Linked DNA regions of Drosophila melanogaster. The protein of the gene in region 1 interacts with the protein of each later gene in a pairwise test. Each region holds a gene or a part of one and is shown on either strand. Other genes may lie near its edges.

What was found.
Region 2: the proteins of CG12877 (region 1) and Acam interact in a two-hybrid assay, tested with the Drosophila melanogaster proteins (one large-scale study listed by BioGRID).
Region 3: the proteins of CG12877 (region 1) and CG2258 interact in a two-hybrid assay, tested with the Drosophila melanogaster proteins (one large-scale study listed by BioGRID).
Region 4: the proteins of CG12877 (region 1) and byn interact in a two-hybrid assay, tested with the Drosophila melanogaster proteins (one large-scale study listed by BioGRID).

The regions. Positions count from the first base shown.
Region 1 is NT_033777.3:27,705,319-27,711,386, forward strand, and holds CG12877 (uncharacterized protein), read left to right. Parts: upstream 1-1,781; 5' UTR 1,782-1,891; coding exon 1,892-2,000; intron 2,001-2,058; coding exon 2,059-3,480; intron 3,481-3,538; coding exon 3,539-4,049; intron 4,050-4,307; coding exon 4,308-4,901; intron 4,902-4,958; coding exon 4,959-5,218; intron 5,219-5,295; coding exon 5,296-5,375; 3' UTR 5,376-5,539; downstream 5,540-6,068. Other genes in the region: CROT (carnitine O-octanoyltransferase), read right to left, coding at 1-69, 146-523.
Region 2 is NT_033777.3:25,809,888-25,813,641, reverse strand, and holds Acam (androcam), read right to left. Parts: upstream 1,732-3,754; 5' UTR 1,654-1,731; coding exon of another isoform or gene 1,159-1,653; 5' UTR 999-1,158; coding exon 552-998; 3' UTR 508-551; downstream 1-507. Other genes in the region: CG17770 (uncharacterized protein), read right to left, coding at 1,159-1,653; CG5024 (uncharacterized protein), read right to left, coding at 1,940-2,437. UniProt on the Drosophila melanogaster protein: May be involved in calcium-mediated signal transduction.
Region 3 is NC_004354.4:8,095,436-8,103,403, reverse strand, and holds the start of CG2258 (uncharacterized protein), read left to right. Parts: upstream 1-1,949; 5' UTR 1,950-2,335; intron 2,336-3,332; exon of another isoform or gene 3,333-3,695; intron 3,696-3,787; 5' UTR 3,788-3,879; coding exon 3,880-4,053; intron 4,054-4,113; coding exon 4,114-4,263; intron 4,264-4,335; coding exon 4,336-5,535; intron 5,536-5,593; coding exon 5,594-5,791; intron 5,792-5,861; coding exon 5,862-5,970; intron 5,971-6,032; coding exon 6,033-6,242; intron 6,243-6,330; coding exon 6,331-6,503; intron 6,504-6,569; coding exon 6,570-6,761; 3' UTR 6,762-7,968.
Region 4 is NT_037436.4:11,925,718-11,930,699, forward strand, and holds the start of byn (brachyenteron), read left to right. Parts: upstream 1-1,975; 5' UTR 1,976-2,306; intron 2,307-4,982. UniProt on the Drosophila melanogaster protein: Required for the specification of the hindgut and anal pads.

The DNA.
Region 1 (6,068 bases):
CGGTTTGATGCTGGACTTTCTAGTCAGATCCCAAAACTCCAGCGAGTGGTGAATGTGGCGCGCCAGACTCTTCGAAAATTATACAGTCAATTAGGCAATCTTAAACTTTGTGTTCTTATAGAGCTTGGGGTGTGGGTCCACTCACCTTCAGCATGTACTCCGGTGTCTCCGGCACGCCCACCATTTCCAATTGCGAGGGCATGACCATGAGCTGGTAGGGCAGCAGCGGCATCCGAATCAGGTGATATCCGTAGTCCTCCCACCAGGTGCCCAGCCAGTTCCTCATGCCGGCCGCCCGCTTCTTGAGCTGTTCGTGCAGCTGGGCTCCCACTCCGTTTTGGAACTCATCAATAGTCTTGCGGGCCTGGGCCAACTCCTCCTTGGTCCCGAATGGCTGGATGCAGCTGTAGTAGCGCTCCATGGTGTCCCTAAGCTCCGGCAGCGGGAGCGAAGGTAAGGTCTCGTCGAAGTCGAAGGTGTTCTTATCATCCTTGCTCATAAAATATAGACTAGCCCGGTCCATGGTGGTTTAGCTGCGGGGGACACGTTGGAATCGTTGATATCAGTCTGCGCGTGTGGTGGTTTTCTATAGGCCTAAGTCAGATTAGTACAATAATCATATCGGGAATCGCTTTTACGTTCGTCAGGTCCAAAGTTCACCCAATACATTACTGAGTACATTCACATCGGAAATAAATTGATCTCATCTTATAGGTTAAACATTAAAATGGTGTGCAAATTAATACCACACAACTAAGAACACTTAATGTGCAACTAAGCGGATTATGCGTCAAGTTGAACGTAATCTTTCTTGGACTGCAGCTAGACGACTATCTTCACTAATCTCCTCAAGCTGGACAAAGTCCGGATTGGGGAGCTTTATAAATATTTATACTCCCGGCGCACTGGTGAAATCATAGGCGAATTTCTAGCCCACTGACCTTTGTACTCGATGGGGAATTCACTTTTGCCGGAGACAACTGAAGCGCCAGACTGCCGTTATACGACTGAATCCATAGGTTGGTTCCATATCACAGCAAACCTTGCCGGAGGGGGAGCACTTGAATTATCGCACCGTGGGATCCGCCACCCGCGTCCACTGACTCAGTGCGATAATATATCACCCTAATCATTGCTATTGCAGACAGTCGGCCACCGATAATGGCCGGTTTCATTTGAATTTCTATATGAATTTCTTTTTTAATAACATATTCCAGCAGACACACCCACACAAACCTTCGATGAGGCGGCAGTTGAATGTCGCGCCCGAACTTCAGTTTGCGATGCACTCGATCGAAATTAAAACGGTTCCGCAGCTATCAAGTTCATTAGGCTAGATAAGCAAACAATTTTATAGGTTAAACAATTATTTTTATTATTATACTGCTGCGTTTTTGTTTACAAGCGGCGAAGACCCTATAGGAAATTGGCACAGCAAACAGCTGTTTGCAGGAGTTGCCAGACTTTTTACACCATTTGTTTATACCGTTAGTCACCACATTCTTATTACGTACATCTTATTCTTATTAACATCGCATAGCATTGTACATCGTACCGCAAGATATAATCCTCCCGGATTGATGCAATCAACTGCCATAAACGTACATTGTAACCGTTAACAAAATGCGAATATTGTTTACAATTATTAATTAAATAGGTCATTCAATGTTTTGTAAATATTTAAAACTTATTTAAATTTATTTAATTTAATTCCTTAGCATCCATTCATAGCATCCATGCTGACGCCTATCTGGCAACGCCGCCAGCAGCTGAAACAGCTGACATCTGTCGAAATGAGTGAAAGAGACAGGCAGAAAGAATAGAAAGAAATTTGGGACGCTTGTTTTCTCAAGCGGCTTTATTAAATTTCTAATCCCAGCAAGAGGTGGAAATGCTGCCATCCACGGGTCTCTTTAAGGGCTTCTTGTGCCCTTACTTTGACGGCCAGGATGCGGCGTCCTGCAAGCGCCCCTTTTGCCACTTTAAGCATGCTCGCAAAGGTGAGTGAATTACGTCCAGTTAATTTCGCAACAAATTCTATCCACTCTCGGTTTACAGACGAATTGGAGGCCGCTCCACCTGCAGAACCTTCCCCCGTGCCCAAGTACAAGCCGGCACCCAAGTTGCTCTCCCTTCCACTGCCCCAGATCACGCTATGTGCGCCCCGGAAGAAGTCCAATCTGGAGTACCACCCGGAGAAGCCGGCTCTTGACGCATCGCCGGCTAAGAAGAAGCAGGAGGCGTCCGTGGACAGTGCTCCCAAATATGTGCCCGGCCAGCCATCTGTTACAAATGGCGAAGAATATGACGATTGGCAGGCGGTACTCGAAAAGGAAATTGATGAGCAGATGCAGGTGGAGATTGAGGAGCAAGTCCAGAATAACGACGAAGAACAGAAGATAGATACGGTAGCTGAAAACGAGGAGGACCAGGAGAATACGCAACTGACGGATGCTAGGGATAGCCACGAAAAGGATCGAAAGCCCAGCAAGGAGCGGGAAAGGGATATAGAAAAGAAGAAGATCAGAGAGCTGAAAAGGGAAAAGATCAAAGACAGGGATCGGGACCGGGACCGGGACCGGGAAAAAGACAAAGAGAAGAGCAAGGAAAGGGACAGAGAGAAGGAAAAAAATGATAGGGATAAGCGAAAGTCCTCCCACAGCGACAAGGAGCGCTCCAAGGAGCGAAATACTTCAAGCTCAAGTTCCTCTAAGCACAAGTCTTCATCTAGCTCCTCTTCCAGCAAAAAGTCATCCAGCAGCGATAAGCACCGCGACGACAAAAGTTCCAGTAGCAGGCACAAGAGCAGTTCTTCATCATCCTCCTCGAAGAGCCATCATCACAAATCTAGTTCCTCGAGTTCACGGTCCAAAACTAAGAGGAGCTCGTCTTCCAGCAAAAGCGCTGGCACTTCAAAGAGCGAACCGGAGGCGGATAAGGATACTGAAGCAGCTGTACTGACACCAGCAGAACCTATGGATGATCTGGATGACATGGACTTTGATTTTGAAGCAGACACCTCGGAAGGAGAAATTGTACGCCAGTGTGAAATGATTTTTGACGAGATGGAAAAAAAATTTGCGCAGATGCACAAGGACGAAGGCGGCAATGCCAACCCGGAGAGTTCTCGCAAGCGCAAAGCTCCTTCTCCGGACATTGATACCTTCACCGAGGCAGCCACGGCGGCTCTGCAGAAGCGCCGGGTGGCCCACGAGAATGCTGACAAGATCACGCCTCATTTGGCTCCTTCGGCGGCGATGCGCAAACCCAATCACGTCCGTAATGCCATGCAGGCGATCTTCAACCGCCGCGCGGAGCTGCGGCGCCAGGAGAAGCTACAAGCCGAAGCCTCAGCGGAGCAGGTACGTCAGGCACAGGAGCGGGTGCGCCAAGCGCAGGAGGAGCTCCGTCAGGCCAAGGTCAACTCCAACCTCACGCCACTTATTTCGCGAAGTGCTCTGACCCCACCAGTGCGATCAGGTGAGCATACCACTTTGGAATATATAATAATTCAAATTCAAATATTTTTGGTTACCAGCTCGCAGCATAGCACCTGTGGCCAACATTGTGGCCATCGCTCGGGCCAAAAAAAAGATCGAGGAGCTGCAGGCCGAGAAGAAGCCAGCCTTTACGCCTGCACAATCATTCAAGGGCGCCGGCCGTGTGGCTCACAAGCCCACTGCTGCGCTAGACAAAGCGGCTCCTGTGTCCAACGCGGAGAAGCCAACCGTCCTAGATCCCAGCAGCTCCAAGATATCATACAACGTGCGCATTCAGTATTATGAGATGATGGTAAGGCACTGCACCGTCATCTATCCGCAGCTGGCAGATGCCTGGGAGCGCGCCCAGGTGGAGGAGTTGACCGTCTTTAAGAAGTGCAACACGCCTGCCATCTACAAGAACAGCTGCATGCTGGCGATTAACAAGCTCCGCAAGGAGGCCTTAGAGGCGGGAAACAAGCCGAGCGTAGCCTGCAAGACTGTGTCGCACGAGATGATGCTGGGCGGCAAGCGGGCGCTCACCACATCCTGGAGCGTAGAGAAAAAGGGGTGGGTTTGTATACTAAACTATAGTTATTCTCTATGTGCACATTATAAGATGAAATTCGCTTAATTGTAAATACTGCCACTGGCCACAAGCATAAACGTAAACATAAGCATAATTTCTCTTTATGACTTCACATTTCTTCCTGGAAGTCATGAATGTTAACTTTTATGACATTTGTACGTATTTCTAACATTTCAATTGCATATAAAAAGTTTTTGATATCTTTACCCTAACAAACATTAAATATATATCTATTGCAGAAAACTGAGCTCCTTGGGCAATGGCGAACCTTTCGATGCTTTAGACGCCGAGAAAGCTTACAAAATGGTATTCGATCTTCGCCTGACTGAAGAGCAGCTGGTGGAGAACGGATATCCGCGTCCGGGCGATAAGCGCGGATCCGCAGTGATACGCGCCTGCCGCCCCAACCGTCGTCCCAACCAGAAAGAGCGCTACTGTTCCCGCTGCGGCAAGGTATTCAGCTTGGACATATACGAGCACCAGAGCTTTGACATGTGCAACTACCATCCGAAAAGCACGGGATATCGACGAGGATTCACGGACCACCAGCATCGCTGCTGCCAGCAGCCGGCGGGCACTCCAGGCTGCACCTATGCCAACTACCACGTCAGCGACTATTACGATCCGGAAAAGCTCACCTGTTTCGTGAAGACGATCGAACGGGGTGAGGAATTTGTGCCCACTAAGAAGGACATATATGCACTGGATTGCGAGATGTGTTATACCACACACGGAATAGAGCTAACCCGCGTTACGGTGGTGGACATAAATGGACGCAGCGTTTACGATGCTCTTGTCAAGCCGGACAACCAGATTGTGGACTACAATACGACGTGGGTGAATGTAGCTTTTCGGTTGTTTCGTATTAATCTGCAATACTCTGACTTCAGCTACTCGGGCATCACGGAGGCGATGCTCTCCAATGAGACGCGTACCATACGCGACGTTCAGGCGGTGCTGATGTCCATGTTCCATGCCAAAACCGTGCTCGTTGGCCACAGTCTGGAGAGCGATTTGAAGGCACTCAAACTCATTCACGACGTTGTGGTGGACACATCGGTGCTGTTTCCCCACAAGATGGGACCGCCAAAGAAGCGAGCTCTGAAAACACTGTGCATTGAAAACCTAAAGCGGATTATACAGGAGAGCGGTGAGTGTGTCTAGTCTTTTACTTTATCACTTGACGTAAGAAGTTTATTATAATTATTATATTTCCTTCTTCCACAGAGGCTGGCCACGACAGTGCCGAGGATGCTGAGGTGTGCATTCAGCTCATCAAGTATTATCTGCGCAACAAAATCAGTTGAGCTGCTATCACGCACCATCGCAAGCATTCAGTTCAAAAGCATTACGTACATCTGTTAATATGTATATCATGCCCATCAAAAATCAAAGCCTTAGCCTTTAAGCTAACCATATTATGTAAAATCAAACTGTATAAATATATCACCAAGCGATGACAGCGAAAAATAAGTAAAGCTTGCTTTAAATGCCAATTTAAAGTGATTGAAGTGTGGCACATGGAACTTAAAGAACGCTGTACAGTACGCTACGGATTTGGCGAGTCCTTTGAAGAATTTCTTACCTCGAGCCTTCAACCAGGTATATTTGTTCATTTTTCTCTATTTTTGCCTTGCCCATTTTTCCTTGCGTTTTTTCCATTCTCTTCACTATCGATAACAATTCAATGAAAAGCAATTGGAAAGTTTTGTAAAGTTTTTTACCTGCCACCGCGTTACAAACTGTAATTGCAAGTTTCGTGCCTGACGCACATCACAGAATATTCGCCGCTGCCCTCGTCCCGCCCCCAGGTTGGCCGCCTTGTTTTTGTTGTTATTATTTAAATGTAATTTTAATCAGATTGCGGCGATACTTTATATTTTTCAATTATACTCGGCCTCGTCTGCTGGCCGTGGGCACCATCTGGATATTGGCTTCTGGTTGCTCCTCACTGGCGCATGATTTTTCAATTTTAACGTTTTATAATTTTCCGTTCTGTG
Region 2 (3,754 bases), 1.9 Mb from region 1:
ACAACACACACGAAATATTTATAAAGTCAGACACAAGCCCCAAAGACCCCAAGAGGTTGCTTCCAGCAAGGAGTACGAGCCGGGCCCGCTGAGGCCACAGTAAAATTTAATTTTAATGCATAAGCAAATTGAATTTAAGCAACAGGAAAATTGTTCGTCTGGCCACAAAGGTGCCGCATGTGGAAGCAAAAACCACTTGCCAGGGAAACGAAAAGGCGGACTAAAACCACGTCGAGTGTTTCATGCTGAAAGTTTTCACCTGAAGAAGGCGAGGCGAAAATTCCTTAAACCAACCACAATTACCGAAATGGGGTGCCTTCATCAAACATTTTTAAGAGCAGGACATGCTTGAAAAATTCTCGGTCTCCGAATTAGGCAAAGGAAAAACTAGCACACCGCAAAAATATAATTGAAATAATTGGGGGCGTATTAAAAAGTGTTCGAAAATAGTTAGACCGCAGAGAAGTGTAAATTGTATTTTTTGAAGAGAAATACACGATTTTTTTTATGCAGTGACCCCAAATATTTTTATTTCATTTAAAGTAGCTGTACTACTTCTGGCTTATCATCCATACGAATTCCTCGTAGTTGATCATGCCATCCCCATCAAAATCAGCCTCGCGAATCATCTCATCGATCTCCTCGTCGGTGACCTTTTCGCCCAGATTGATCATCACAAAGCGAAGCTCAGCTGGTGATATAAAGCCATCGCCATCACGATCAAAAATCTTGAATGCCTCACGCATTTCCTCCTCAGTGTCAGTTTCCCGCATTTGCTTGGCCATTATACCGCAGAACTCAGTGAAGTTCAGTTGGCCATTGTTGTTGTTCTCGGCCTCAGCTATCAAATCTTGCAACTCGGCCTCCGTTGGATTCTGGCCCAAGGTGCGCATCAATGTGCCCAGCTCACGGGTGGCGATCTTGCCGGTTCCCTCCTTGTCGAACTGGACAAAGGCATCCTTGAACTCGGCAATCTGCTCCTCCGTTAGTTCGGACATCTTGATAAATTTTCAAAGATTTTCGGTATTTATCGAGATATTTTTAAATGCTTGCAGAGCTATAGACTGTTGGAATTTACGAAAGGGAATGAGCCGAAACTGTTTTGATGATACTGATACTGACAGGTCGGGTTCCCAACCCCTAAAGCCTGCTTTTTCCTTATGTAGTGGACATCATTCTGACAAATCGCACATAGTCTATATTGCCTTCCAAATCAGAATTTGCATCACGGATGATCTCCTCCACCTCATCATCCGTCAATTGCTCCCCCATGTTCTGCATTATGTGACGAAATTCCGATTCAGATATTAAGCCGGTTCCTTCTTTGTCAAAGACTCTGAATGCAGCTATAATTTCATCCTCGGTAGACATGTTTGCGTACCTCTGAGACATGATGTGAAGGAAATCGCTGAGATATAACTCACCGGATCCATCAGCATCGATCTCGGCCTGAATTTCCTGCAATTCCATATCACTGGGATAGTGGGCCACAGACAGCATTAGTTGCCTGAGATTTGTTATAGGAATAACCTTAGTGTCTTGGTCGTCAAACAGGGAAAAGGCAATCTCCAAATCCTTGACCTGTTCTTCGGTCAGATTGTGGGTGCGAATGGTCCGTTCCTCTGGCGGCGGAGTAAGGAATTCGAAATCCATGGCCAAAGGAAGGGGTTGGGGGTGGGAAAATTTTGGGGTCACTGAACACTCACTACAAATTTTCGACAAACTTTAGTTCACAACTTCATATTTATAATTTAATAACAAGAAAAGCCTACTCTTGTTATCATTTTATCTATTGTATATTGGCTTTTTTTTTTTTTTAAAGAATAGTCCAAACTGGTGGTATCCGATATTTCAAGATCTTCGATTCCATTGGCCATGCTTTTGAAATTTATTGATTAGATCTACAATCGGTTATGTTTTTTATTTTTCAAAGAGAGTGTTACGTCTCCATCATCATGGTCACAAAGCGAACGTAGTCGATTTTCAGTTCCGTGTTGGCGTCGGCATCACGTATCATTTCCTCGATCTCGTCCTCTTCCATTTCATCGCCATATTCAGTCATTATCTGACGGAACTCATTCTCGTGTATAAAGCCAGATCCATCTTTGTCGAAGACTTTGAAAGCGAGGATAACTTCATCTTCGACGGTCAAATTCTCGTACCGTTTCGACATGATGTATAGGAAATCACTGAGATAAAGCTCGCCGGATCCATCCGTATCAATTTCGGTTATATAATCCTGTATCTCGTTTTCCGGCGGGTTGTGGGCCACGGCTCGCAGGCAATCTCTCAATAACTTGATCGGAATGACCTTGGCATTATCGTCGTCGAAGAGGGCGAAGGCCGCCTCACAATCCTTGAGCTGTTCATCATTCAGCGTGTGGGTATGAACTGTTCGTACCTCCGGAGGTGGACTACTGAAATCAAAGTCATCCATGGCAAATTGTAAGTATACCTTGGGCTAAAATTTGGATTTCCCGAAAAGATGAATTTTAAAATTTAGTTTTTCGAAAATAGTTGTGTTTAAATATTGTCTTTTCATTGACAGTTTTCCATTTAGACTGAAATTGTGGAAAATTCAAGGCATTGACAACAAAAGATTACTAGTTAGTTTTTTAAAATTTTTTTTTTGTTAGTTGCCCCACGCTCTTTTCTGACATGGTTCTTAAACTCATTTTCAGTAAGATAAATTTGTGAAATGGAAAAAACTACAACTGCTCCGTGATGCAGTAACACCGCAGTAAAATATAGCAGGATTTAACAATTAAATTTGCAACAATTTTCCGAATAATGTTTTCATAGCCTCTGGCTACCGCTTCGAGCAATGTGGCTGTTGAAAAGCATGGGTAATTACATTTTTAATTAAATGCGTCGCAGTTTGTTCTGTTTTTATATTATTTTTATTTTTGTTGGTGCATTTATACAACTGTTCAGTATTTTTTCTGCTCAGCCATTTGCTGCCATCGTTGGTCTCTTGGGTCATAAAATGTTTTTTGTGTTTGTATTTTTTTTTTTTTTATTGAGCATTACGGGCAAATAGGGAAATTATCCAATGCAAAATTTCGAGCAATTTGCATAATTTGGGAGCGGAGAAGGCGAGAACCAAACTGCACAAACCCATGTCCCTGGCCATCAACCTTTCTCACACGTGCTCCTCCCAGTGGAGCGAACAATGGGGGCTTCTTGGTAATGAGAAGCAAATCCTGGCCACGAAGGACACAAAGGATTTAGGATTGGGGCCAAAGTTGAGCCACACAACAAGGCACTGTCAAGCATTTCTCTGCATAGATTAGAGAGGACTTTTCGGGCCAGAGATGCGGGATTATATATTTGTATGGAAAACAATAGTTCCAAGTATTACTTAGCAGGTAATATATTAATTAGGGCTACTAACTAAATAAATAAAAGTTGTTTGCGTTAAAGGAGAGTAAAAACAATTTGCTTAAAATAATTGGCAGATTTGTAGATCTCCCAACTAATAAATTCTATTCTGATGACCACATGTGTATATGTTTATACGATTGTCTGGTAAATGCAGCTCAGAATATGTTTGTTGTTTGACTTTAATCAGGCATAAACAGGACGATATAGCAACAGCCGAGCCGCAATCGAAATGGCAACAGACCTTTGGGGGATTTGGATAATTTGCATTTCTGTAGTGGGACAGGACACACATGCAAAGGGTTTTCATGTGCAAATCCCTTTATGCCAGTTTTGGAACCACAACTTCATATAGTATTACGTATATTCGCTC
Region 3 (7,968 bases), on another chromosome or scaffold:
CGAAGGCAACGGCAAAACGAAACGGAATGGATACGTTACGGATACGGAGCAACATTTATCAATATTATTTTTAATAGCATAATTTCAAACGGATTAACAATTAGCGTGCACCAAGATCCTAATTGTGGACAAATGTTTTGCGGCCGTGCGTGACCTTTTGGAAATGAAAGTCAAGCAGACCAGGAAGGAGGAGGCGACGGAGAAGGAGAGGATGGATTAAGGAATGGTTATGGGGCACATGAGGATCCACGTGCCGTAGGATCCTCCGCCAGCCACGATATCCTCCAGGAAGTCACCATGCTCTCGTCATCGTTTCGATGGAACTTCGAGTTCCTCGAACCGTCGATCGCAGCCGATTTGCCATAGTTATATAGAGAGCTAAATGCTAAACCAACTATATACCAGCGTCAAGAACTACAACGGCAACATAAATCTCAACTAAGTGCCGTTCCACGAGACCTACAAAAATATGAATACATATAGTTCAAAACGAGGCAAGGTTAAAAGTGTATTTCTGTTTGTTTTCGTTTATATCATATATATTTATTATACTATTCCTATTCTTATAAATGCAAGTACAATGAAAAGTTGTTTATTTTTTTTAATAGATATATTTACACACACACACACACATACACACGCAAATACACATTTGTTTAAAAGTGGCCTGCTGTTATTAAACTAGATATGATAAGTACACATATAACGAAAAAAACAACACTGTGCTATTATAATTTATTGTGTATGTGATTGTTTCCCCATTATGATACGATTATGATTTATTGTGACCACAAGCAAGCAAATAAACGGAAAATATTGTTGAATCTTTAAACTTAATCGAATTGGGTCGTCCAGGACTTAGGAACTTTTTATATGATGCCTTCTGAATCAAACAAAAACTGTACTTATAAACTATTTACGCCTAGTGAACGTTATTACAAAGGGGTTTCCCCTGTGAATTGTAGTCTAAAATAGCAAATTGCGGTTATAACTAATCAAAATGAAAAAATAAAAACAATATATATACTACATATGTGTGCCACAGGCAAAACGTTTAACCAGAAAAAAAAACTTGCTAGCATTTAAATAAACATTTTTATAACGCATCCCAAGAATTAGCTTGCCCTTAAAATCAGTATTTTTATATAAATCACTACACGTACTGTCCCCCACAAACGAGTTAAATATTATATGCAAATAAAGAAACGTTTTCCTGAAAACCGAAAGAGATCGAGCTTTTTTTCAACATTTAAATTCTAGCGCCAAGTTGGCAGCCCACATATATCTGATATCGATAACGATAACAGGCCGGCATGCCCCACCTCTACATTAAAAGGAGAAGAGCAAATAGGAAATAAAAACAAGTGATTGGATAATTTTTGTTTGTTGATCCCGCTGTCTTTGTTTGGTAAAATGGTGAAAACTTAGTTAACGCCACTTGGATGTGCTCAAATTTTGGTTAGTGTTATTCGTGGCTTGTTTAAAACAATATATAAACAAACTCTAAACGCCGTTAACCCTTGTGCGCGTGTGTGTTAGCTTGCGGCTTTTTTTTGGGTGTGGAATAGTTTGTTATTGTTGTTGTTGTAAACACATATGTATATCTGTGCAACAACAATTTGTCGCTCATACTTTTTAGATACAGTGCTCTCTCTTTAAAGCGCATAACAAGTATTTATTTAAATAAATTTTGAAAACTAAACAATTGCCAAAGAGTGAGTGCGGTTTTTAAACTGTTAACATTCAAGAAAATGTTAATACAATTGCAACACTTCTTGTTGCTAAAGTTTCGCCTTATCGAGTGATCACCGCCCCCCACAAGAATTCCCTTTCCGACCATCGCCCCTCCCCGGCGACAGACAAATAGACAGGAGAGCAAAAGAGACATAAAACAAGTGCATCGCATTTTGCCAGGAGAGGAGCAGCATCACCCTTCTCGCATCGCCCATTGCATTTCGCATCTCGCATCATTGGAATTAATCAAGTGAGCTTCTCATTCGCGTGCTGCGGCCAAAGGGAACAACAACAAGTGATGGAGCAGCGGAACTAGCTGTGTCGCCTTCAAAAGGACATCGAAAGCACAAAAGAGAGGAGCAGCAAACACGCCCATCGTCGGAAGGCAACATAAAGCACACACATCCACACACACACACACACATATGCAAACGTCCTTGGCTCCTGGACGCCAACAGCGGATGTGCGGGAGGGCGCAGGACGAAGGATAGCTGACGTCTGAGACAGGAAACAACAGGAAGAAGACAACAGCAGCAATAGCGACTACAACAACAGCAACCGACAAACGCAATTACGGTAAAAGGTGCGCCCAACAACATGGGTAAGTGAGCGGGGCACATTCTCATTGCATCCTTTTTGTGTTGTGCCCATTGTCGCATTTCCATACATTACACCCATTCACCGCGTGTCCTTGTGTGCGTGAGTGAGTACAGCAGCCCTGCAGTTCCGAAAATCACTTTGCATTCGAGAGCATTCACCAGGTGAATCATCGGCGACAGAGGGGCCTTCGGTCCTATTGGATGTCCAATAAGATTTCTTTTGGGGCAGTCCTATAGGAAATACAAGGTTTTCTTTAGAACAGTCCTGTACATCTATTACTATCCTTTGTAATTTGTAACTACACAACACTTGTTTATAGTAAATTTTGAAAAGTAGTTGATTTTGAAGTACTTAAAGCAAATGATCTAGTTCATTTTAGGTTTTATTAACCGCAAAATATTTGAAAAAGTGCGAAAAGCCTAACTTTGAAAACGTCCATTAGTATTGTAGCTTTATTAAAAATTAATATACATAAAGATATTTGTGAAGATTTAATGCATGCATTATATTAAAACCACAAATGTGGGCCACAAATATTACTGTTATTTGTACCGCTATTCACTGGCTTATTTATGAACCGGTTCACTCTTGCACGGATATCCTGCGAGAAAAAAGTGTGAGAGAAAGATAGAGAGAGAGAGAGAGAGGGAAATGCGCGCGCGTGGAGAGAGAAAGCACGAGTGGGCGGGGCAGTGGAGGGGGCGCTGTGTTTTGAAACGGATTTGCTCGTGTTGAGATTTTCACACAAAGCAATAAAATAGGCACCCAAAGAAAATTTAAATTTAAAAAAAATCTAAATTTGTTTTTAAATATATGTAAAAGTTCTTAGGACAGAAGTTGGACTTGAACACGTACCTTTCTCTCTAAACTGTTCAAAATAGTGTATAAATTGAATGCACTTTGTGCTTTTTTCAGTGTAGCGTGGAGCGTAGAGAGCGCAGAAGCCACGTGGCTCTCTCTGGCGTGTTTGTGTTTGTGGGGAAAACAATGTAAGCTGAAAAGGATCAAAAGCGCAAGGCGTTGTTGCAGGACCTAAAAGCAGCGCACAAAGCAGAAACGGGAAAGGCAGGAAGAGCGAGCGAGTGAGCGAGCGCAAGTGAAATATGAAAATTGCATTTTCCTCTTCCTGTGTGGGGGTGCTCCATTAAAAATTCCACCAGCACGAGGAGTATCCTCTTTGACGGCTCCGTGCGAATCCTGCGGAACTCAGCAGTTCGCTGCAGTCCAGTTTAGTGGCACGAAAAAACATTTTGGAGCATCAATAAGAGTGTAGCCAGTGCCGTCAGTCCGCAGTTTGGCCCTCGGCAGTGAACTTAACTTTTTTTTTTAGCGCCTGCTGCAGTTTTTCCCCGTGTGCTTGTGTGAGTGTCGACGCCCTTAAAGTTTTTCAAATTTTCCAGCTTTGAAAATCACTTAAAATCAATCCGTTTCGATTTAATTCTTTTTATTTTAGCAGAGGCAGCGGCAGGAGGTGGCCCTGGTGGAGGAGCAAGTGTTCCCAGTGGAGGAGGTGGCAACGACATCGGTTTAGGCATCGGCATCGAGATGCTCAAGGCTCTGTACGACTTCCAGGCGGTCTATCCGAAGACCATCAGCTTCGATGAGGGCGAGTACTTCATCCTTTACCAGACGTCCGCCCGCCAGCGCAATTGGTGGCAGGTTGTCAGCATGAAAGGCAACATTGGCTTTGTGCCCTCCAATTACGTAATGAAGATTAAGGTGGAGTACATCGCTCACTAGTGGCTAAAAGGATTACTAAACATATGCAAATTTTGACAGGTGGAGCACGACTTTCTCATCAGCTTTCTGAACTCCTCGATAGAATCGCTGGAGAAGTGCACGGACCATGAGATCAATGGCATCATGTCCAAGGACGAACTGCTGGACAGGCTGCGCGAGAAGAAGCACACCATGGAGCGTCTGTATGCGGTGGGTAGATTCTAACTACTCGTATGGCCAAATGAATGTTATTGATGACCTATCTCCCCTCCTATCTTGCAGGAGAGTTCCGAGCGCGACGGTGACTCCTCGCTTTCCTATTCACACAGCTACAGTGACAAGGGTAGCCACCGGCACTCGCATCCCCATCCCACCCAATCCCAGACGCAGCTTCATTCCCAGCACAGGCAGCACAGTCCGCCGCCCAGCGGCGGCAGCGTTGGCTCCCAGCGTTTGGACATGAGCAAGAAGAGCATGTCAAGTCCAGCGGTGGGCTCATCGTGCGGCCTGCCCCAGAATCAGGGCATGATCGAATCGCCCAGCATGGGCAGCATGCAGTTCCAGGGCAGCAGCTGCACCATCCAGACGCCGCAGCAGCAACAGCCGCTCCCAGCACCGCCAGCACCAGCTCCCTCGCCATCGGCAGCATCGGCCACACCCACTGCGGCATCAACGAGCAAAGCGGCCACCGGCGGTGATGTCGCGCAGGACAATAGCATTACGTCGGAGCCCTCGGAGACGACAACGACCACTACGACGACCAGCGAAGATGTGGTCACCACATACAAGGAGACCAGCCAAATGAGCACCAGCCAGCAGCATAAGCCGCAAAATGGGAGCACTGCCTCGGCGTCCATTTCCGCATCTGCCTCGGCCTCAGCTTTGCGCAGCAACGGCGGCAACGGCAAGGCCAACGGTAGTGCCACAGCCCTGCATCAGGAGCTGCAGCAGGAGGAAGCGGACAGTGCGCCGGACAAGTCGGATGATGCCAGCGCCGTGCAAAGTGACGACGGTTGCCCGGCCAACGGAGATAGTGCGGATAATAGCCAGGCGCTGGACAGCATCGACAGTCCGTCGCATCGACAGCGCGGCCTGAGCCTGGGCAGAATCGAGGAGGGTGCCACAGGAGGAGGCCAGTTGAAGGTTGAGTCATCGGATGTATATCAGATTGTGGACGCCCTGCGGCGGAACACCAACCTCAGCTTCGATCTCTCCTGTGAAGCATTGCGCGTGGTGCTGACCAGCCTGGAGCAGCTGTACAACGGTGCCATCAATCCGTACCTGGAGGCGGTGGCCGTTCATGTCACTGGCAAAGTGGCCACGCCCAAGGAGCTGCTGGGCATTACGCACGACGCCAAGCGCTTGCAGTATCTCTTTGCCCAGCTGGCGGACTGCAAGAACGATACGGAGCAACGCACTTGGATGCTCTACGAGGATGAGGAGGACATCATTCAGTTCCTTGAGGAGCTTGTTGAGATTTTGGTAGGAACTAGTTTTTTTTTTGTAACTTTAAATCTTAAACTTATATCACTCCTTACAGATCAATGCTGATGAGAGCATCAGTTGCTACGAGATGTCCTGCGATCAGTACCAGATGTTTATCAATCTGGTGCAGTACTATCAGATGGAGACGCGCTGGTCCATCAAGCGACTGCTGCTTAAGACCTTTACGGCCGCTTGCCATCTGGACTATATCATTGTGGACATATTGCTGACCTCGGTGCTGCCATTGGAGATTGTAAGCAGGAGCTCAGATTGTGCCACCTAATGGTTTTCTAAGTTTAGAACTTAACATACTTAACTTTCAGGTCGAGGACATGAAGACGCACTTCTCCAATCTGGATCGCTTCAAGCAGCTGGTCAAGATGCTCACTATTATCTTCTCACTTGGACAGCCCATGCCGGTTAATCATCAGGGTAAAAGCTATCTTAACTTATTAACCAATAGTTGCATGCTTATACTTTGATGTCTATTATAGATTATTTGGGCGTACATTTTGCCAGCTTCCTACTGGAAATCGTCGAGGGCAATAATCCGGAGGTCTTGGTGGACATGGTCATTGCCTTGATCTTGGCCTTCAATCAGCAATTTAGCGAACATACCTATAATGTCATCATCGAAGGTATGCAGAATCTGCCATCCGCCAAAGTGTTTACGGAGAAGTTGCTACTTTTGCTCAATCGAGAGGGTAAGTTTTCAATTTTAAGCATACTTTTTAATTAACTACAAAACATAAGCATGTAAATTGGATCGATTTCTTCTTGAATTCTAACCAGATGATCCCACACGCTTGCTCAAGCATCCCAACGAGCATATGAACACGGTGCTGCGAATGTTTATCGACATATTCAGCCATCCGGATACGGCGGGCATGTTCTACACGAATGACATCAAGGTGCTTATCGATATAGTGGTTCGCCAGCTATCCGATTTGGATGCCGGCAGTACGGTGAGTCCGCCAAAAGTCAATGCAACTATAGTGCTCCCTACTAAGTACACTTTAATTTGGTTTCAGACGCGACCATGCTACTTGGAGCTTTGCCGACGCATCCTGCGCAATACGAACTATCAGGAGCACCAGCATCGCAAGCATGATCTCATGAAGATCTTCACGCGCATCTTCTGCGAGGAGACCGAGTGCAGTGCCTCCGATCAGCAGCTGGTGCGGGAAATAGCGAACGAATTTCCGCAGCTGTTCAAGGCCTAAGGATTATTGGATACGTATACCAAAACAACAACAAAAGCCCAAACCAAAAAAAAAAAGAACAAAAAACACGGAGGGAAACCAAAATTGTAAAGCGTTGCTAGTGAGGCGAGCCGTTGAAAGCGAGCCAAACCTTAAAATCTCAAATAATTTCAAGTTTGATCAGTGCATTTGTTATGCGTTTGTTTTAGCGTTTCGGTCTAGGATAGCCCTCGTCAAAAAAAAAAGTCAAATATTGAAAAGAATGCATTTCGATCCATGCCGGATCGAAAGGGAGCACACACGCGACTCTACATATATCTTATGAACATAGTCTGTAAGCAGGACAAATGTACTAGTTGCATGTGGAGTAGATGCAACCTCATAGAGATGATAACCCAATCTAGCGATCTAGGCGAAAGAAATGAAGCTATAGCCTATAGCCCATATAGTCTAACACTAAATTATCCCCTGTTTAGGATGATTTCACTAATTTAGAATTTAGCCAGGGACAATTTTAGCCAGAAGCAGAGTCAGAGATTAGCCTCACTTTTAAATTTTTATAGTTCCAATTGCCCATTTGTTTGGAATTCAAAATTTTGACAAAACAAAAGAAGATGGAAGCATAAGAAAGAATGAAATCTTTCGAGGAATATAATATTTATAGCCTAATTATACACCTATAATGAAAATATACATTCATGGCGAATGCGAATGAAACGTTAATTGCAATCTACAAGTAAACAATTGATATATTAACGATGTATGATCGCAGTATTTGCAGCTAGCAAAATCCAAATCGATTCGAATGTAACGAGCATATAATGTTAAATTTGTTTATATAATCTATGAGATGGAGAACTAAGCCGAACAGGAAATCATTGACAATTGTTAAAGCTCAAATACTTATTAATTGGAGGCTAAGGAGGCTGGAAATTGAAAATAATTAACTATGCAAGAGCATTGAAAGTTAGGACAACCATTTGCATTTCTCACTCACTAAAAGACACGAACACACTGTGGCACTTGCATTTTGAAGGTATACAGAATTCCGAATTATATTAAAACAAATTATTGCAGTACCAGTTTTATTTTTTTTTGTAATACTTGTTAATACCTTTTCTTTCTGAACTATAGGGTTTTAACCTCCAGCAAACCAGCCACATTTTCTCTATATATCTCTCACTATTTATCAAGAAAAAATAACAACACAAAATTCCCAGCGGATCCA
Region 4 (4,982 bases), on another chromosome or scaffold:
CGTCATCGAAAGGATTGAGGATCGCGCTGGTAGGGTTCGCCCTCATTTCCGCGTACTCCTCTGCGCGGCGCATTCTTAATGAAAACGTGCGGCATCTTTAATGAATGACCAAAGGGAACTGGAATAGGTAGCCCAGACATCCGTCACGGTTGCGACAACTACATGGCGATCCATTCGATTCACTTGTCTATCCGCCAGATACATTTCTCCATTAGCCAACGCTCAGCCCTCCGGAGTCCCCTCCATTTTCATTTCCATCTCCGACTATTTTATTGAGTTCCCTAGTCTGTTGATTTTTCTCATTTACTACCGACGGTTGTACTGTTGTACCAGACCCTTAACTAATGGCCATCGTTGGCCGCGAGCTGTTTGTCTTTCAGCGCCATAGAATGCCCAACTTTTTGACCGTTCCCAGCCCCCTAGATAAAGTCGGTCCATTGACACGCGGCGATGACTTGGAACCGACTAAAAAGCGAGCTGCGATCCACGAAAAAACACAGACTGCCGATGCAAGAGGCGCGTGATCTCAAAAAAATCACGGAAAAGCTATAAATAGTTGGTGTTTCGAGTCTCGCAATATACAACTTTGAAACAACCCAGCAAACTTTCATTGAATCGCATTTTACTGTATTTACTATATAAATTAGCAATGAAATCAATGCAATAATACACGGATAATTAAAAGATATTTTTAGGTACATTTTTTCTATTTTATCTTCGATAATAAAATATAATGTTCGAAATGTAAAGTAAAAAATACAAGTGATATAGCATTTTAAAGTGTGATTCTCTCCAATGTGGATGCAAAATTTCAGTTGGTCATGTGTGGTCACGCACCGCCCCAAAAATCCAGCAACTCCGCCCCGGGGTAACTTGTATTTTGGCCACATACACAAATTGACGCACCAGAGTCAAATGTTTACAACTCGAAATTCAGCTGAAAATTTTACCAAAAAAAAAAAGTGTTGGATCGGCAAACCCGTTTTGGAGTGCAAACAGACCCCGTGGAAAAAATACAAAGTTTTAATTGGTTGGACAAACAAAACTCAAAACGAGCGTCTAAACAAATCAAAGCCACTCTGCGGCGAACAACGAACAACGTACTGTGAATCCAGACCTCAGACACACCGAAAAAAACAACTCAGATTTACATTTTAATCTCAGATTATCCTAGTTTAAGGGTTTTTGTTAGTGAATATCTTGATCTTTTGTATTGCATCTATTTGATATCAACCACTTATTAAACTATTTACATATGGACTCCAAGTAGTAACTCAAAAACCATGATTATGTACAGTAGGCATTTAATGAAAGAAGTTTCAATAACAACGGATGGGATATAAAGATAAAAGATTCCTTCAACTTCCAATCTACGGCTGAGACAAGGATTCCTTTGACAAATTCAGAGCGTCTATAATAAAGATCACAAAAGATAAGAGACTTTTTCTCTCTGTGCAACAAATGTGAGCAACTGAAACACGTTACACTTAATTTTTGGCGCATGCAAATTGAACGATTAGCCACGGGGGTTACAGCAGGGGTATATAAATCCCGCCTAGGACTCCAATTCTGGGCCTTCTGAGAGTTAAAGGTGTGCTCGCCCTGAACGATCCGACCCACCTGAGAGTTCGATGTTATGGGGGCTCTCTACCTGTTGCCGGGTTCTCGATGGCGATGGCCGCAAATTGACCAGCCGGGTGAGCGAGCGAGAGGCGAAATACCGCCGCTGTCTTACCTGTTAGAGGGTGTGGCCTAACCATCCGTCAGCCAGCCGATCATCGATCGGGCCAAAACGAGATGGCTATAGGACCGGTAGAGAGCTAGCACGCTAGCCGGCCATCATATCATCCATGGGCCAAAACAAGAAAACAACAACGATGCCACGATGTCGATCGGCTGGCCAAAGACGAGAGATGAGAAATAGAGGAACCGAAAGCGCGGCTTGTGATGGTTGAAAAAATTAGCACCGATCGTTGATCATTAGCTCGGGAACGGTGGCAACGCAAACACACGATCGGCGGCAGCGCTAAACTCCAATCTCGAATCTCGACTCGAATCAAATATCTTGAAATCTTTGAAAACAAATTTCACGCGGCTGTATCTTCCCACTTGAATCTGAACTCATACGATAGTGATCCTTGATAAAGTGAACCCTCTAGGGAATTAGTGCTATAAAAGTGCGTGATTTGGCAGTGTTGCGTATTCAACTAAAATCTAAATCTAAACCTAAACCATCTTCATAAGGAGTTTACCACTGGATTATATCGAGAGCGCCGAGTTTCGGCGTGAAGCAGGTTACCAAATTGGTAAGTTAGTTGCACTTTATCTCAATTTTGGTTTCAAAATTTTAAGTTTAAACTTCATAAGAAAGAAACTTAAACGAAAATTCGAAGTTTATTTTAAGAAACGCTTGTATTCCTTTTTAAAACATCTTTATTTTCGAACAGAAGTGTTAAACACTTCGTTTTAAATGCTAATAACAGCTATTAAACATTGCGAAACGTTGACTAATCTTTTTACTATTCAAAAAAGAAAAATCAGACATTTTTACGATGGAAGTAGACTTATGCGTCGGCAAAGGATATGTTGTACTTTTAAATATATATTTGGAAATAATTAACTTTTTGAGAAGAAAATGTAAAAAATGAAGTAGAATTGTGGCAGACAAACACTGACCCCAAAACATATGGCTCCCAAAAAAATCATAAAGTCACTTCTCCGATTCAAAAGTTTGGGTGCCATAAAGTGCGAGTGTTTATTCCTCCGTGTGACATATGACCATAAACGTAATCAAATAGCAAATTGGCAAACCTATTTAAACGAACGTGTGAAAATCAAATGCCGAAGCCAAACAAAATCACCAAACAGACATATTTTGACACTTGGCCAAAAAAAGAAGAAAAAAGTCAAGACGAAGTGTTGGCGGCTCGCCCGAAATCCAACGGGCAAGTGACAAAATCCCCCATTAACGATCCTAATAATACCTCTAATGACATAAAACAGCAGCCGAGAAAGGGGCGGGAGTGGCCGTGGGCGTGGCCGACGTTCACACGCAAATTAGTGGGGACATAAGAATTTTCAGACATGCGTCTGGGTATTGCCAAAAAAAAAACATCAAGTTGGATCGATCTGAGGCGTCCAATTACGACGCATGTGAAAATTATCCTATTAAATGCAAATCAAAGAGGCCCATAAACAGACCCGAAGGAACCCCCCTCACCCCTCCGCAACGCCCACGCAGATCGTTTAGTACTTGACAAATGCTTACTAATTAATTACAGTTTGTACAAAATTTTAGTACGCCGCTCATAAAAGTGCGCCTACCACTGTGCCGTGGAGTGCTGAAAACAAAAGTGTGACAATCGGTGTTTAAAGAAACGCCCACAAATCGCCAAAAAAAATATATCGAAAATATCCTGAAAGGTCACCAAGTTCTCAATGGAGCGACCTCTGACATTGTCCTCCGGAAACATTATTGATTGCATTAGAATCGAGCCAATTCACGGCTATTTCCATTTCAGTTCGCCCACGCAGTATCTAAATTTAAATTCGGTTTATTTTCACGCGAAGTGGTGTGTGAAATTTAGCAGATTCGGTTTAATCGCCTCCAACTGGCTACCAGTGACTTGTCGTCATCCATGCCACCCGCCAGCATCCTGAGCAGGTGCGAAATATTGTCCTTTTCAACAAAGTGCGAATGGGAGTGGGATAAGTCGATCGGAGTAGCGAATAAACAAACAGAGCATTTATTATTGCACGTGTTCGATTACCTGAGAGGAGGGCAATTGTGGTTATTGCTTTGAATTATATAATAGATACACTGGTTTTTATATTTTATAGAAAATCGATAGGTTAGCAACATCATCTCTAACTAATTTTAATACATTTAATATTTTAGCATTTATTGAATTTCATGTTTAACTACAAATGCAGCGCGGAATCAGTTAAAGTTGAACTATAATAATATTATTATAATTATTATAATATAATGAACTATTATAATAAAATGCTGCAAATTTAACATGATTTTTAGTGACTTTAGTGATAATCGTTTAAGAACCATTAGAGTGCGCTGGCACTCCTTCCTTTAAAAGTTAAAGCTGAACCCATCGAAATGTATCTATGAGATTCGCCGAATGTGTTTCCATCGGCGACCATTAGTGCGTACCTGTACATTGAGTACGTAAGCGCCATATTACCAAAGGTTCGCTTCGATTTGGAATAGCGCGCACATTTCATACGAAAAAAATAGGAGGAAAAAACCCCCTCAAAGCGTCTGAGTAAATATCAAAGTCACGAAATGATTCAAAAATCAACAGAGCCAACAACAAAGCGGCTGGCCCGAGATGGGGAAAGAGTCCAATGCAAACCCCAAGCCCCAAGCCCGAAAACCCGTCATGGCTGCCATCAAAAGTCAAAGTATATGCCACATATATACACATGGGCAAACAGTCACACACGCTTCCTCCGCTGAGGAGACAACACACAAAAACAGCTTTTCATTAAGCTTAGTGATGGAGCCGGAGCTGGGACACCGCGTCTTAAAATCGTGGTGCTGGAGTGGCGCGGTGGTGCGGATCGATGTGGAACACAAACACGGCCATGAGACGAGCCATGTGGCGGGGAGCCATGTGGGGGAACCAGCGTCATGAAGAGTGAATTTTTATGATGTCGTCGATGTCGCCTATTGGGCACATGAGAAAAACCCGCCAAGTATCGCGTGAAAATTATGATAATGCGGAGCGAGCACGAGCTGGGAAAATCGGAAACCTTTGAACATTCATAAACTGAATATAACTTTCGAATGCTGGCCCAAAGTGGTTGAACTTTTAAACTCGGCCGATTGAATTCGAATTGAAACTTTTAATTGGGCCCAGCTTCTGGTTGAAATGGTACGGACATTCGGGCAATAAGATGTCCCTGGTTAGTTGACAAGTATGTTATATTAAAGTTGGTATCCACTTTTAGAAGTTAAAATTGAA